2 linked regions of the Struthio camelus genome follow. The protein of the gene in region 1 binds, or shares a complex with, the protein of each later gene. Links are inferred from orthologs where the notes say so. Each region holds a gene or a part of one and is shown on either strand. Other genes may lie near its edges.

What was found. Proteins that work in one complex are often made in the same cells at the same time.
Region 2: KANSL3 (region 1) and KANSL2 share a complex: the UniProt entries of both Homo sapiens proteins name them as parts of the NSL complex. The link is inferred for Struthio camelus from reciprocal best matches to the Homo sapiens genes KANSL3 and KANSL2.

Annotation. Positions count from the first base shown.
Region 1 is NC_090968.1:1,247,880-1,254,826, forward strand, and holds the start of KANSL3 (KAT8 regulatory NSL complex subunit 3), read right to left. Parts: upstream 3,063-6,947; 5' UTR 3,012-3,062; coding exon 2,794-3,011; intron 603-2,793; coding exon 432-602; intron 1-431. UniProt on the Homo sapiens protein: Non-catalytic component of the NSL histone acetyltransferase complex, a multiprotein complex that mediates histone H4 acetylation at 'Lys-5'- and 'Lys-8' (H4K5ac and H4K8ac) at transcription start sites and promotes transcription initiation.
Region 2 is NC_090969.1:1,056,297-1,064,301, reverse strand, and holds the start of KANSL2 (KAT8 regulatory NSL complex subunit 2), read right to left. Parts: upstream 3,021-8,005; 5' UTR 2,829-3,020; coding exon 2,582-2,828; exon of another isoform or gene 2,511-2,581; coding exon of another isoform or gene 2,501-2,510; coding exon 2,450-2,500; intron 2,375-2,449; coding exon 2,113-2,374; intron 1,081-2,112; coding exon 902-1,080; intron 261-901; coding exon 146-260; intron 1-145. Other genes in the region: CCNT1 (cyclin-T1), read right to left, coding at 7,638-8,005. UniProt on the Homo sapiens protein: Non-catalytic component of the NSL histone acetyltransferase complex, a multiprotein complex that mediates histone H4 acetylation at 'Lys-5'- and 'Lys-8' (H4K5ac and H4K8ac) at transcription start sites and promotes transcription initiation.

The DNA.
Region 1 (6,947 bases):
CATAAAGGCAATTGAGGCAATAAAGTGACCCGCTTTGGTCTCTCCAGCTTTCTTAAAGACTTCAGTGAACACAGAGAACGCAAAGCGAGCGTAGTCAAGCACGCGCTGCATTGGACCGGATTCAGCACGCCGACTCGTCCTCCCTAGCCCTCATTCACCGGCTGCAGACACAGAAGAGTCACCTCACTGCTCCGTACCACGATTTTCCTCTCCATTTCTGCTTTTTTTCTAAAATATTTATGGCCCCAACTGCATTTCACACAGCATCTGGCACTACACCATCCTCTGGCTGGCTGCGGCTTTATATACTAATACGTGCTGCAATGTAACCAGCAAGATGAGTCCCCGAAGCACAACTGCCACAGCTACTGCATGGATAGTTACTTAGGATCACAATTTCTTTCCTCTGCAACCCTGGCGCCCCGCGTTACCTGTTCACGTGTTCCTCCCAGTCATCTGGCGGAGGAGGAGCATCAGCATCCGTGCGCGCAAACATCACATGGCGCTCACACTCGTTCATCACACTGCGGGCTTTCTGGTTGTCGTAGAGCGGCACAGGCGTGGGCGTCACTGTTTCGACATCGATGGGGATATCTGCTTCGCTGTGAGGAAAATTTCACTTTAGAAAACGGGATGTAACCTGGAAAAAACCTGAGCGGATCAGAGAGCGCGCCTGATGCCTCAGGGATCTGTGTCTACCTGCCCCAGGTACGCACGAGACACCCGTGAACTTATTTTGTCCGTATTCCCACATCTCTCTCCAAAGATGCTGCGACTAAGTGGACTACTGTGGAATTGCACTCTTTGTAATGAGATCTTGCATTTGGAGAGCACACCGTGGGGACATGCTACACTATAAAAATCAAGAAGAATTTGTAACCAACTGGGACCTTGGGTCCAACTCTTTCCCATAAATCCTGACTCAGGCTGCAAGACCGAATGCTGTTCGGACAGTTGTTTAGATGGTGTGAATATAAACCACCGAAGCATCTTAGGCTTAATATTTAATAAAGTACCTATAGCTTCTGGCAGATGTTTTTAATCACTTTAGCCACTAGGCTTCATAAGCAGGTATCTTATCATTTCTGGTCTGAGACTAGGCAGTCTTTTTTTCCTGTTTTAAGCTCTACAAATGAACGTGCCTTAGAGGACCCTGCTAAGCCTGGTCTTCTCCTGCCAGAAGAGCTGCTGAGCAACTAATGTTTAAGAAAGCGAGTTTCGCGGCCAGCACCTGGGCCGTGACACAGGACAGGGAGAAGCTACTTCCTAGCAAAGGACCCAGAGATCATGGCCCAAAAGCAAAGGAGAAAAACACTGAAGACGCGAATGAGCCCTGATCCCAAAGACATCCCAAGCCGGGCACCAAATCCCTGAGCTCCAGCCTCAAGCCCATTCACAAGCCCAAAACCAAACGCTTGAGCCTTGACCCCCCCCGAATCCTGCCATGACCCCTCAAGCCCCATGCTGCGACCCTGAGCGCACCCCCATACCTCACCCCACATCTTCAGGCTGATTGCAACTCCAAACACAGCCGTAACCTCAGGTCTGTCCAAACCGCGCAGCTCCAGTCCCCCCACAGCACCCAAGTCCAGCCCCACAGCACGCACACCCCCCAGCTGCCCCCCAGAGTCCCCCCACTCCCCACTCCAGACCACCTAGCCCCACAGGAGCCCCCCACTGCCCCCTAGAGACCCCCCCACTCCCCACTACAGACCACCCAGGAGCCCCCCACTGCCCCCAACAGCCCCCCCGACCCTCTAGGAGACCCCCACTGCCCCCTAGAGATCCTCCACTCCCCACTATAGCCCCCCAGACACCCCCCACTCCCCACTACAGCCTCCCTAGCCCCACAGCAGGCCCCCACTGCCCCCCAGAGACCCCCCACTCCTCGCTACAGACCATCCAGCCCCATAGCACCCCCCTAGAGACCACCCACTCCCCAAAATAGCCTCCTCAGCCCCACAGTAGTCCTCCAGAGACCCCTTACTCCCCACTACAGCCCCCTCCAGCCCCCCAGAGACTCCACACTCCCCACTACAGCCCCCCCAGCCCCCTAGGAGTACCCGAGACCCCCCCACTCTGCTCTACAGCCCCCCCAGAAGCCCCCTAGAGACCCTCCACTCCCCCCTACAGCCCCTTAGAGGCTCCTACTCCCTCCTACAGGCCCCGTAGCCCCCAGGAGTCCCCTAGGGACCCCCCACTCCCCACTATCCCCCAGGAGCCCCCCAGGCACCTCCTACTCCCCCTTACAGCCCCCAGGAGCCCCCCAGGCACCTCCCACTCCCCCCAACAGCCCCAATACAGCCCCCCAGACACCCCCTATTCCCCCATACAGCCCCCTAGACACCCCCCACTCCCCCCTTACAGCCCCAATACAGGCCCCTAGACGCCCCTCACTCCCCCCTAACAGCCCCCCCAGACACCCCTCACTCCCCCTCAGCCGCCCCCCAGGAGCCCCCTAGACACCCCACTCCCCCCCAGCTCCCCAGGAGCCCCCCCAGCCCCCCTACAGCCCCCCAGGAGATCCCAGACACCCCCCACTCCCCTCCAGAAGCCCCCCAGACACCCCCACTCCCCCCCAGAGGCCCTCTAGAGACCCCCACTCCCCCCCTAGCAGCCGCCTAGACACTCCCACTCCCCCCGAGCCCGCCAGGAGCCCCCCCCAGCCCCCCTACAGCCCCCCCTCCCCCCCGACACCCCCCACTCCCCCCTACAGCGCCCTAGAGGCCCCCCACTCCCCCCCACAGCCCCCCAGACACCCCCACGCCCCCCCGCTCCGGCCCCGGCGCTCACAGGGCGCTGTCGGGCTGGCGCCGCGGCGTGACGAAGAGCATGCGGGTGGGGCGGGCGGCGCTGGCGTCGGGGTGGGCGCTCCAGGGCTTGGCGTAGCTGTGGTCCAGGCACACCAGGTCCAGCTCCCGCTCGTGCACCGACAGCTGCAGCAGCAGCGACGTCCCCATCCTGCGCGCCGACCACTGCAGGTCCCGCTCGCCGCCGCCGCGCTGCGACATGGCCGCTAGCGCCGCCGCCGCCGCCGCCCGCGCCGCATCCCGCGCCAGGGCCGGGCCGGGGGCCGCGCCTGCCGCTGGGGCCTGGGCCGGGGCCGCCGCGCCGCAACGCGCATGCGCCGCCCGCCCGGGGCCGGCTGGAGCGCGCACTGGAAAGTGCGGAGCGGAGTTTGAGGCCGGGCGGAGCGGAGCGGAGCGGAGGGCGGCGGGGCGCGGTCAAAGCGCGGAGAGCGGATGCAGGCGGAGCGGAGTGTGAGGGAGAGGCCCGGTGCGCGGGGGCACGGGGACACAGGGGGACATGGGGACACAGGGGGACACAGGGGGACATGGGGACACAGGGGGACACAGCGACATGGGGACACGGGGACACGGGGGAATAGAGACACGGGGACACACGGACATGGGGACACAGCGACACACGGACACGGGGATATGGGGACACGGGGGTACACAGGGCTATGAGGATATGGGGACACAGAGACACGGGGACATAGAGGCACAGGGACACGCAGACATGGGGACACAGTGGCACGAGGACACAGTGGCATGAGGACACAGCAGCTCAGGGACACAGCGATATGGGGACATACGGACATGGGGACATACAGACATGGCGACACAGGGACACAGTGACACAAGGACACAGCAGCTCGGGGACACAGCGACATGGGGACACACGGGCACGGGGTCACAGTGACATGGGTACACACACATACAGGGGACACGGGGACACGGGGACACCCTCCCCCCCCAAGGGGACATTGAGACACCAAGACAGAGTGACGTGGGGACACAGCCCCGTGGGGACACAAGGACCCAGGGGCATGGGTACGCACCCTCACGGGACGCCAGCACACACGTGGGGACACGGGGCACCCACGGGTACGGCCTGGCACAGTGACACGGTGGCACCAGCCCCCGCGAGTGCAGGCAGACACAGTGCTGCGGGTGCTGCAGGGTGCCATGGGGTGCTTTGGGGTGTCATGGGGTGCTGGGGGGGGTCACAGAGTGCAGGGGGTGCCATGGGGTGCTGCAGGGTGCCATAGGGTGCTGGGGGGTGTCAGAGAGGGCAGGGGGGGTGCCATGGGGTGCTGCAGGGTGCTGAGGGCACCATGGGGTGCTGTGGGATGCCACAAGGTGCTGTGGGTGCCATAGGGTGCTGCGGATGCCTTGCGGGGTGCTACAGGGTGCCATGGGGTGCCACAGAGTGCCATGGGGTGCCGTGGGGTGCTGCAGGGTGCCATGGGGTGCCGTGGGGTGCCGTGAGGTGCTGCAAGTGCTGTGGGGTGCTGTGGGGTGCCATGGGGTGCCATGGAGTGCTGTGGGCTGCTGCAGATGCTGTGGGGTGCCATAGGGTGCCACAAGGTGCTGCAGGTGTCCTGGGCTGCCATGGGGTGCCGTGGGGTGCTGCAGATGCTGTGGGGTGCCACAGGGTGCCACAAGGTGCTGCAGGTGCCCTGGGGTGCCCTGGGGTGCCATGGGGTGCTGGGGGGCACGCCACGACCTGAGACAGCAGCAGCAGCAGCAGCAGGCCCGGGGCAGCCTGTGCTTGGCACAGGGACCCTGGGGCACCGTCCGTCCCCCCACTGTGACCCGGCGTTCTGGAACGCGCCGCCGGCACCTCGCACCCCGGCTCGGCACCCTGCGCCCCGGCCCAGCACCCAGCTCCCTGCGCCGACATGCTGCGCCTGGTGGTGGCCAGCGCTCGCATCCCCGCGCCGCGGGCGCCCATCGCCGACGTGCACGTGCGCGCCGAGTTCAGAGGTACCCCAGCAGCTGGGACGGGGGACGGGACGGGGGACGCCTCCGGGCAGCACCCACCCGGCACGCACCCAACCTCCTCCCTGTCCCCAGGCGTCCCCAGGAGCACCCGAGTGGTGCCAGGCGAGCGCGACACAGCGTGGAACGAGGTGAGGCCACGTGGCTGCAGCGGTGGCATCAGCATCACTTTCCCATGATGGTGGCATCACTTTCCCGTGGTGGTGGCATCACTTTCCCGTGGTGGTGGCATCATTTTCCTGCAGTGGCAAATCACTTTCTTGCAGTGGTGGCATTGCTTTCCCATGGTGGCAAATCACTTTCCCATGGTGGTGGCATCACTTGCCCATGGTGGTGGCTTTCCCGTGGTGGCACCACTTTCCCGTGGTGGTGGCATTGCTTTCCCATGGTGGCAAATCACTTTCCCATGGTGGCGGCATCGCTTTCCCACGGTGGTGGCATCACTTTCCTGCGGTGGTGGCATGACTTTCCTGTGGTGGTGGCATTGCTTTCCCATGGTGGCAAATCACTTTCCTGCGGTGGCCGGCAGGAGCCGAGCCCCAACGCCCCGCGTGTCCCCGCAGACGCTGGTGTGGCCGCTGGGCGCCCGGCCGCTGGAGCCCTCCGCCGTCGTGGCGCTGTGCCTGCGGCAGTGGGGCCGCCCAGCCACCAACGGGTGAGTGGTGGCAGACGGGGACCCTTGCCGGGGCTGCCGCCGCGCTCACCGCCCGTCGCCCCGCAGGGACCTGGGTGCCGCCACGGTGCCGCTGGGGCAGCTGGTGGCGGAGCCGAGCCGCCCGCTCGCCCTGCGCAACGTGCCGCTGCTCGACCGGAACCGCCGGCCCACGGGGGTGAGCGCCCAGCACCTTCCTCCTCCTCGTCCCGGCGGCACCCGGCGGTGCTCACGGGCACGTTGCTTCGCAGTGCACCGTCACCCTTAGCTGCTCCTACGTCCCCGCCGGGCACGAGACGCCGCGGGCGCCCAGCAGAGCTGCCGCAGGTGAGGACGCCTCCTCCCGCCCCGGCGCTCGATTTGGCCGCGGGGACGACAATGCGCCGTCCCCTTTTGCTGTGCCTAGAGGTGCCGCGCGGGACCCCCTGGCCGAGCCCCGGGAGGGAAGCGTCGGGAAGGAAACAGGATTTCCAGGTAACGCCGAGCACCGGCGGGGAGACTGCGGCAGTTTTTTCCCGGCCGGGCGGTCGCAGCACCCATCGCGTCCCCGCTCCAGGTGCGAGTGCGGATCATCGAAGGGCGCCAGCTGCGCGGGAACAACATCAAGCCGGTGGTGAAGGTGTTCATCGGCGAGCACGTGTTCCGGACGAGGATCAGGAGCGGGAACAACCCCTACTACGACGAGGTGGGCGGGAAACAGGGCGGGGAGACGGCGGGAAGCGGCGCCGGGGAGTGAGCGGCGGTGATTGCGGCTGCCGGCCCCTTTCTCCCCAGGTGTTTTGCCAGAATTTCCGCGAGACGCTCGCCGGCCTCTTGGAGCAGCCCATCCACATCCAGGTAGGACGCGGCGGCGGGCGCGGGTGGCCCCGGCGGGGCCGCAGCCGATGCCGGAGCGCGGGGCGGCCGGTCCCGCAGGTGCTCAACTCCCAGGCGGTCCGCGCCGAGTCCGTCATCGGCGTCTTCAAGGTGAGGGGCGACGGGGTGGGGACGGACGGGGCGCGCCGGAGGAAAGGGCCGCCGTCTCACCTTCTCACCCGCACCGGCGCGCAGCTGGACGTCGGCAGCGTCTACAGCTCACCCGGTAGGTGGGCATCACGGCGGTGGCGGCAGCGGACGGGGTCCCCTCGGTGCAGCTGCTCAGCATCTGCCTCCGGCAGGTCGGACGCTCGCCTGGAAGTGGCTCGGCCTCCACCACCCCGACCGCCTCGACGCCGGCCTCCGAGGCTACCTGCGAGTCAGCCTGAGCGTGCTGCGCGCCGGGGACCCCGCGCCGGTGAGCGTCCCTGCAGCCAGCCCCGCTCGGGCGGGCGCTGAGCTTCGCCGCCGCCGCCGCCATCCACCCCATCTCTTCTCCGCCAGGACCAGGCGAAGCCAGCCGAGAGCGAGGACGTGGAGGCCAACCTCCTGCAGCCCTCCTCGCTCCCCGCCTGCGTGGCAGCCCTGCAGCTCCGCGTCTACCGGGCCGAGGACGTGCCCCAGGGTGAGCGCCGGCGAGCGCGGGGACGGGT
Region 2 (8,005 bases), on another chromosome or scaffold:
CTAGAGACACAAAGTCCAACTGCAACATCATTAATAACGTCATCGCTTTAACATAACCGCCATCCACCCTGGTATCACCCGGAGTTCAGGGCGTTCTGCAGGACACGCGTAACCAGCTAGGAGCCGCCACCACCACCCAACTTACTTCAAGGGATCCTCCTGGTCGCTATCAATGCTGTCAGCCTCGCTGTCCGGGTCCCCTCGCCACGTCTGGTCCACTGTGATAGGGTCCTGCTCGCCGTCGCTCCAACTGTCGTCATCTGCAAAGACAAGTCTCCGTGAGAGGCAGGACCCTGCCCTGCTTCCCAGGGCTTGTTACTCCAGCACAGGGCAGCCAGGGACCCCGGGGGAGGCTGTTCCACGGCAAGTACGGAGGTGAGCCAGCTCTGTCTCTCCTCCAAGAGAAACTTCTCCCCAACACAACGTGAGCGAGCAATATGGTACAACAGGAAACCCACCAATTAATTATGTGCAGCCAAAATATACAGCTCCTGTGGAGTAACATTCTTGCCTACTTAAGAACCACGAACCGCCTGCCGGCTCCCCACCGAGTGACCCTGCAAGATGGGAAGCTCACCACCGAGCTGTAGGGAACAGACACATCTAACAGCAGTGTTTGACAGGCACAGCAAGAGACTAAACAAGCAATGAGGGGAGCTTCCAGACACGTCTACCGAAGAGAACCCACAAGATTTTGGCCTGGTGATGGGACATACCTATAATGTGACTTATCTGCAGTCACTGGTAGGCAAAACACACAGGGGTGTGGGACACGATCTTTTGCCACAGACCCCAGGATCCCTTTTCTACCACTGGATTTAATAAGCAACGTTCTTGGCGTTTCCAAACAAAAAAGAGAACTCCTGGTTCTCTCTCACCGGTTTTCACGTTAAATTCTTACCTAGGATTCGACTGGCTTCACTGCGGCTACTCTCTGCAGTCTGGGAGCCCAGCTCTGTTTTGGCGTAAGAGCTAAGCTGGCAAAGGAGAGTCTCGCTTACAGGTCCAGGATTGGACTTTTTCATCTGAGCTTGGAGTGCCAGAGTATTCCTACGGGCATGTTCCGCGCAGAACGACACACTGAGCAAATAAATCAAAAACACGTTACGACTCCAAGCTCTCAGTCAGCCAGCAAAACGAACAAGCGATACAGTGAGAAACGCTCCCTGCCATTTGGAAGGCATACCCCACTCCACAGCTACCCTTCGTGAGCAAAACGTAACCATCTATCACCGGCTGCCGGTATCGTTCAGAAATGCCAGAGAGCCCCAAGTGGTTCGCAGACCACACACCACCATAAAACGCCACCTCTGGCACTGAAGCCGGCAGCCACATGGCACAGCAGCAGGGAGAGAAAAGGGCTTTTTACTTCAAGCCGCAGAGGTAAACTGCTTCCAAACATTCACGCTGGACTTTAAAGTTTTCGTGCAGAGCACGTTGGCCCACATTAGATGCATCCTTTTTATCGCAGAGGCACCAAGGGCAGAATCAAGACTGCTAACGTTCAAATTTCAGTGACCTCTGGGAAGTAAATAAAGGCCGACGCTCCAATAACTGCATTCTGCTGACGTGTTTACTGGGTGTCAATAATTATTCTAGGCCTTTTCATCTGTAACAGCTGGAACATTTTACACGCATCAAGGAACAACAAGCACAACCAGGTCATCAACTCCAAATAATACATGACCAGAGGATCTGTAATACATGACCAGAGTATCTGTGTTGAGGATTAACCCTAAGCACAGACACAGACAACTCGAGTTTGCCAGGGTTAGCTCAGGTGCAGCACCATGCGGATGCAACCGCAGCTCCCACCAAGCACCCTGGCTCCTGAAACAGCACAGCCACCTTCTGATGACAGAGGGCAGCAGCCTGATAGTCCTGCAGGACCAAAAAGACTCCATGCAGAGCTCTCAGTGCTCACAGTCTTTCTGCTGGATTAACAATGCTTCAAAAATGGAAAATCACTTGTCTGAGGTTAACATAAGCGCAGCAGCAGAATAAGGAAAAGGACCTGCAGAGACCTATGCCTTCACCCCATGGTACTCTTGCTTCTGCCTCTTTTAACTCTATACAGTACAGAGCAAAGGACTGGGAAATGGAAATGCTTACCCATCCTTTTTCTCTGGTTTGGGCGCAGCGTTTGGACACCGCTTTCCGTTCTTTGTTGAAACGTAGCTGCACTGCTTGAAAGGAGCAGTCCTGTCTTCCAGAATATGCTTAATACAAAACTCCTGCCCTTCCAGCCGTGGCTGCGAACACTGGCGGTGAGTAAAGGCACATGACAGAGGTTCCTGGGGCCGCGGCACAGGAGTAAGGCGTCCTCGACTTGACGGCAAAACATGGATCCGAATTCTGTTCATGCCAACACCTGCTAGAGAGATACAGCTCCAATTAAAAGAAATTAAGCAAACGACTGATAAAAAGAAAGAGCAGTCTCTGCTAATACCTGCCAACTTCTGAATAAAACTCTTTGTCCTCCTGGGACGAGAAACTGTTCCTACAGACATAGTTTCATGGGAAACTCGACTTCACAGTAACCCCAATTCGGCGGCAGAGGAAACATGCTTCACTTAGGTACCTGAGCTTCCAAGCGTTGCCACCTGCCAGCAGCGTGGCCAGGGGTACGTTTTCCAGACCCCCTTCCCTCTCTGCACAAACCCTCCACGCCCCAGCGGGCAACCGCTCCAACCCCACCATCCCAATATGCAACCCCTTCCTCCCAGTGCAGGATCTGCCACCCGATACAGAACCATTCCCTCCAGTCCCTCGATACCAGGCACCTTCCTCCCTGTGCAGGACCCCCCACCCCTCAAACACCCTCCCATATACACCTCCTTCTCGAGTGCCCAATCCTCACCCCCACCTTTGCACTCCCTCAGTGCAGCACCCCATGCTCCCAATTCACAGGTCACCAGCTAAGCCCCAGTATAGGATGCTTTCGTCCCAGCGCACCCCTAAGTGCTGGCCCCCCCTACTCCCGGGGCACCTCCATGCATGATTCCCTTCTCCCAGTGCACCCCCGTGCAGGTCCCCCTTCCTCCTGGTGTGCCCCCCCTGCACGGCCACCACCTCCTCCTCAGGCACCCCCCCGTGCATGTTCTCCCCCTCTCCCGGTGCACCCCTCGGGGCACCCCGTATGGATCCTACCCTCTCCCGGTGCAACCCGTGCACGGTCGCCTCCTCCCCGGAGCACCCCTCAGTGCACCCTCGTACAGATCCCCCCAATCCCGGTACACCCCCGGGGCACACCTTGGTGCATTCCCGTGCAGACTCCCCTCCACTCCCGGTGCACCCTCCCGGAGATCCCCCCCCTACCGGTGCACCTCGTGCACGGCCACCTCCTCCCCGGTGCACCCCCATGCAGATGGCCCCCCCCGGTACACTCCTCGGTGCACCCCATGCAGATCACCCCTCCTCCCGGTGCACCCCCTCGGGGCACCCCGTACACGGCCGCCTCATCCCCGATGCACCTCCCGGTGCACCCCCCTAGTGCACCCCCTGCACGGCCGCCTCCTCCCCGGTGCACCCCTCGGGGCACCCCGTGCACGGCCGCCTCCTCCCCGGTGCACCCCTCGGGGCACCCCCGTGCAGAGCCGCCTCCTCCCCGGTGCACCCCCCTAGTGCACCCCCCTAGTGCACCCCCGTGCAGACCCCCCCCCCCGGTGCACCGCCGCCTCCTCCCCGCGCACGTGCTCCGCCACCCGCCTCGCGCCGGGCCCGCGCATGCGCCCTCGCGCCGCCCGGCTGCCCCGGCGCCGCCATTTTGTCCGCGGGCGGCGGGCGTGAGGGGGGCTGCCGAAGGGGCCCAGGTGGCGGCGTCGACGCGGAGGACGGGGCGGGGGATCGGTGCCCGCGGCCGGGACGGGTGGGGAAGAAGCCACCGGGGGAGCGGGCAGGCGGCGGGGCCGGCGGGCTCTGCTCGGGGCGGGCGGCGGCGGCGCCGCCGCCATCTTACCTCGCTCGCGCCCCAGCCTGGCCGCCGTCTGCGCCGCGCGCGCCCGCCCGCCCCTCCCGCCGCCTCACTGGCTCGCCCCGCCGCCAATCCGCGGCGGCCGCAGGGGCGGCGCCGCACGCCGTTGGCCGAGCGAGCCGTCCCTCCGCTCAGCGGCCGGCCACGCCTCCTCCCCCCTGGGCGGTCACGTGGAGGGGGGGCGCGGTGGGAACCGACACGTGGGCGCGGGGCCGCCGCCGCCGCCGCCAAGGAAGAGCTCGGGACACAGCGCTGCAGCTCGGCTGCCTCCTTTGCCGTTCACTTTTATTGATGTGGATAAATACACAGCGAGAGACAGTGCCCGCGAGCGACCGAGCACCGGCGCCGTGCCCGGGGAAGGGGGGGGGGGGGAGTGTCCTTACCGGGCGCCCTTACCGGCGGCCGCTGCAGCCGGTGAGCGGAGGCAACGCAGCCGCGGCCCCGCCGCGGGGGAAGCGGGGTTGCGAGCACCCGGCAGCCCTGAGTGAGAGAGGAGAGACGGAAGCAGGTTTCGCATTTTGGCTCCGGGAAGGCAAAAAGCTCCCGGTGGCCGCGGGGCACCGGCTCGGCCGCCGCCCCCCCCCCCCTTTCCCCCGGGAGCTCCCCTGCCTTTGCCCCTTCCCCTGCAGGAGGGAAAGCTCTAACACCGGTTACGGGCTAGAGCAGGTAGCACACGTCTATCTGGTTTTTAAAAAGTTTCCCGAAGTTTAAATATTTATAAATGTTTTAAGAATAATACTCAAAAGCACCTTCCTTACCCTGGCTTCGGCTCTCGCTCCCAGCGCTCGCCCGAGCAGGGAAGAGGAAAGCATGAGGGGAGGCTCGTGTTACCCCTCAAGCCCCCCCATGGGGAGGTGGCAGGTACAAATCAGAAACAGCTTTAGATAGAAAAAGAAAATTTAGGTCTGCGGCCAGGTGTTCTCTGCCGGTACACGACAAACGCCCCAGGCTCTTTCCGGCAAGGAAGAGGGACGCACTTTGGGGGTGCCCAGGAAAAGCTTCTTCGCGTTCAAGAATATAGCCTGAAGCACGGCAGCAGGAAACCCAGAGACAGCCCAAACTCGCGTCCAATAACCTCCTCTGTCCTATCACCTGAATCCACCCTGGAGGTAAAGCCCCCGGCCACGCTGAGGGCCTTCGCGCATCCCCCATCTCACGCGCCCAAACACAACACCAGCTCACAGCCACACAAACCACAAGCGCAGCCTTAAACAAAAGGACGCAGAAATCACTCAGAAGAGGATTGCTTCTGCTGGTACCGCCTGCGAGACAGAGGTGCAGGGCACCCGTCTCGCCTCCACGCGTAGGCCTGAATGGGCACTAAACGCTTAAGACCTGCCCAGGAGACGCCTTCGCTTGTGGCAGATGTCTCCAGCCAGTGTGGCAGTGACCCTGCAGTTAAGGCTTTTGCAGCAACAAGAACCAGACGTGTAGCTCGTCTTGAAGATGCTCAAGTTTTCCAGGACACGCGCAGAGACTCACTAGCGCGTTACACTCGATACCTCCCTGCAGAGAAGGCTGCAGCTGGAATTGCTCCCCTACTGAATAAGGGAAAGGGCAGCACGATTCGCCGCAACGCCTGACAAACCATGCCGCGCAGGCTCTCAAAGCACCCAGGTAAGCAAGAGACAAATCTCTGCTGGGAGCTTCAAACATAAACTCTGTACCTAAGAGGTTACCCTGGTGGTTGACCAGCTCCAGCAAGCTGGCACTGGCAAGGGTTAGCATTACTGATTGCTCTTTAAAATAAGAGGAACTGGATGTAGAACAGAGTTTCACAAAAACATAAGGAGACAGTACGTTTATTGAAGTTTGGAAAAGTATAGTCCGAGAAGAAAATAAGTCGGCTTTTCCAAAACGTTAGACTGAAACTTCCCACCTCCAGCTGGATTCCCTGTTCCAGGATTTAGGTAGCAGTAAAAGCTAGGTTTCCAACTTGGAGAGATAAGGGTTGCGAACAGCAAAGTGCACACAGGATTCCCTGTCCAGCCAGCAGGATCTTGTGCCTGACACCGGGCCCAGAGCCGAGGAGGATCTGCAGTCGCTCAGAAGCTGCCCGCCTTGCCCATTTTCATCGTATTTCCCAACTGCGAGACCCGCGATGCAGCTCCTCTCAGATTAAGCCCTGTGCAACTACAGACCACATCTGTCAACGTATTTCACGTTTATACCCAGACTAGGCTCTACGTGGCTTACATGCTCGAAACACCATTTCCCAGGCTGTGGTCCAGCCAGCTCCACACCCTTCCTGCACAGCTGCCAGTGGCACCCTGCAAATGGACTCCTAGATTTCACGTTAAGCTGATATTCTGCCAAGGTATCATTCTAGCCAGCTCCAATGCAGCTCTCCGTCAACCCAGCCGGGCACCCCTTGGGCACAAGCCCACTCCGCATACGAGGCCCCTCGCCTCAGAAGCCGAGCAGTGCTGGGCCAGGCCAGCCACACGTGGGCAGCTCCTCCGGACCCTCTCCCCAAAACCGCCACCTGAGGTGACAGACAGGCCCTCAGCCAAGCCCGCAGTCACCAACCACCTCGCCCTGGATGTTCACATCGCACCAGCTGCCACGAAACACCACCACCAACACCCCAACGTTTCCGCAGCCCTTTCCATAGCCAATGTTAAGAATCGCGATCCGTAACATGACTTAAACGCACCCCGTTCACAGCTCTCCCCGTTCGCACCCCTGCTTCCCTCTCCCGCATCAGCTCCGCACCACCAGGAGGTGAGCGAGGTCTCACCGCGCCATGCTGACTCCTGGCCCTTCTGCTAAGCAGGTAACACGCAAGGTGAGGCTGGCGAGACTCTCCTTCACCATCACCCCAGAAGCCACAACCTCCAACATGCACCTTTCTCCCATGAACCGCCACCTTTCAGGGGGGATTTTTCAGCAGAAGCAACGTGACCTGCCAGGCAGTCTCTCGTTCAGCAGGAGGGGAAGAGCTGAGGGACAGAGGAAGATACCGGATCCTCCCCCTTCGCTCAGAGAGGGAGAGACAGCCTAAACGAGAGCCGCTTTTGCAGATGAGGAAACTGAAACAACAGCAGGCAGAGCAACTCCGAATTACCCCGAGTCGGCAGCAGCTGGGATTCCCTCCGCTGCCCCGGCCGAGCTGCCTCCAGCTCCTGCCCTCTCCTCGCACCACTTCCTCTGCTCCATCCCCGAAAAGCTCCTGAGCCACTTTCCATCGCCAACAGCTCGAACGGAGCCTCCTGACCAACGAGACGCAGCCTGAGCCCTTCACGAGGGTCCCCTGCAGCACCTGCCAGCATTACAAAATTAAAATGAACAAAAACACTAAGATATAAGTTACTGCTTAAATTATTTGTAAAATGTCTTAGATTTTCTGTGACACGTTTTAAATACCCCCCAGGGCCCCCACAGTACGTGATCCCCAGAGGGGGCTTCAGTTCCAGCAGGGACAGACCCCACCACTAACTGGAAGTCGGTGGGGGAGGGAGCGATGAACGGAGAAAGGGTTTCTCATCCTTTCACAGCTTCAACAACTCCGCGCTCTAAATACCAATAATAAAAGTTATAATAAAAATAGTTCTTCGTGAGGCAGTGGAGACCAAACAGCCCTTTCCCTCCCCTGCAGGGGCAGCCCAGGTTTCAGGCTCGGGCAAGCAGGCTCGTCTGTACAAACTCAGTAGTAAAAAGGGCTTTACTTGGGGAGCGGGGGGAGCGGAGGGGGGGGTTCCGACGGCAGCGGGGGCGGTCGGGGTTTGTCCGTGTTGGCGGCTCTGGAGCTCACGGCAGCCCGGGGGTTCAAGTACTCGCCACACGAGTGGAATTCGAAGCCAGGGGCCCCGGTGGGCTGCATGCCCTGCGCACTCAACAGCGAGTGCAACATATTGACTGTATCCTGGTAGTCACTGGCTTGGTTTGTGTTGTGCCCGTTGGCCCCCGTGGGACCCTTGTCCAGTTTGCCGTGGGGACCCCTGGCTTTGTTGGCCTGGGGTAAGGAGAGGCCACCTGCTTCTGAGCTGTGCCCTGGGAGATGGGCTGCCCCAGGCAGGTGGGGATACGGAA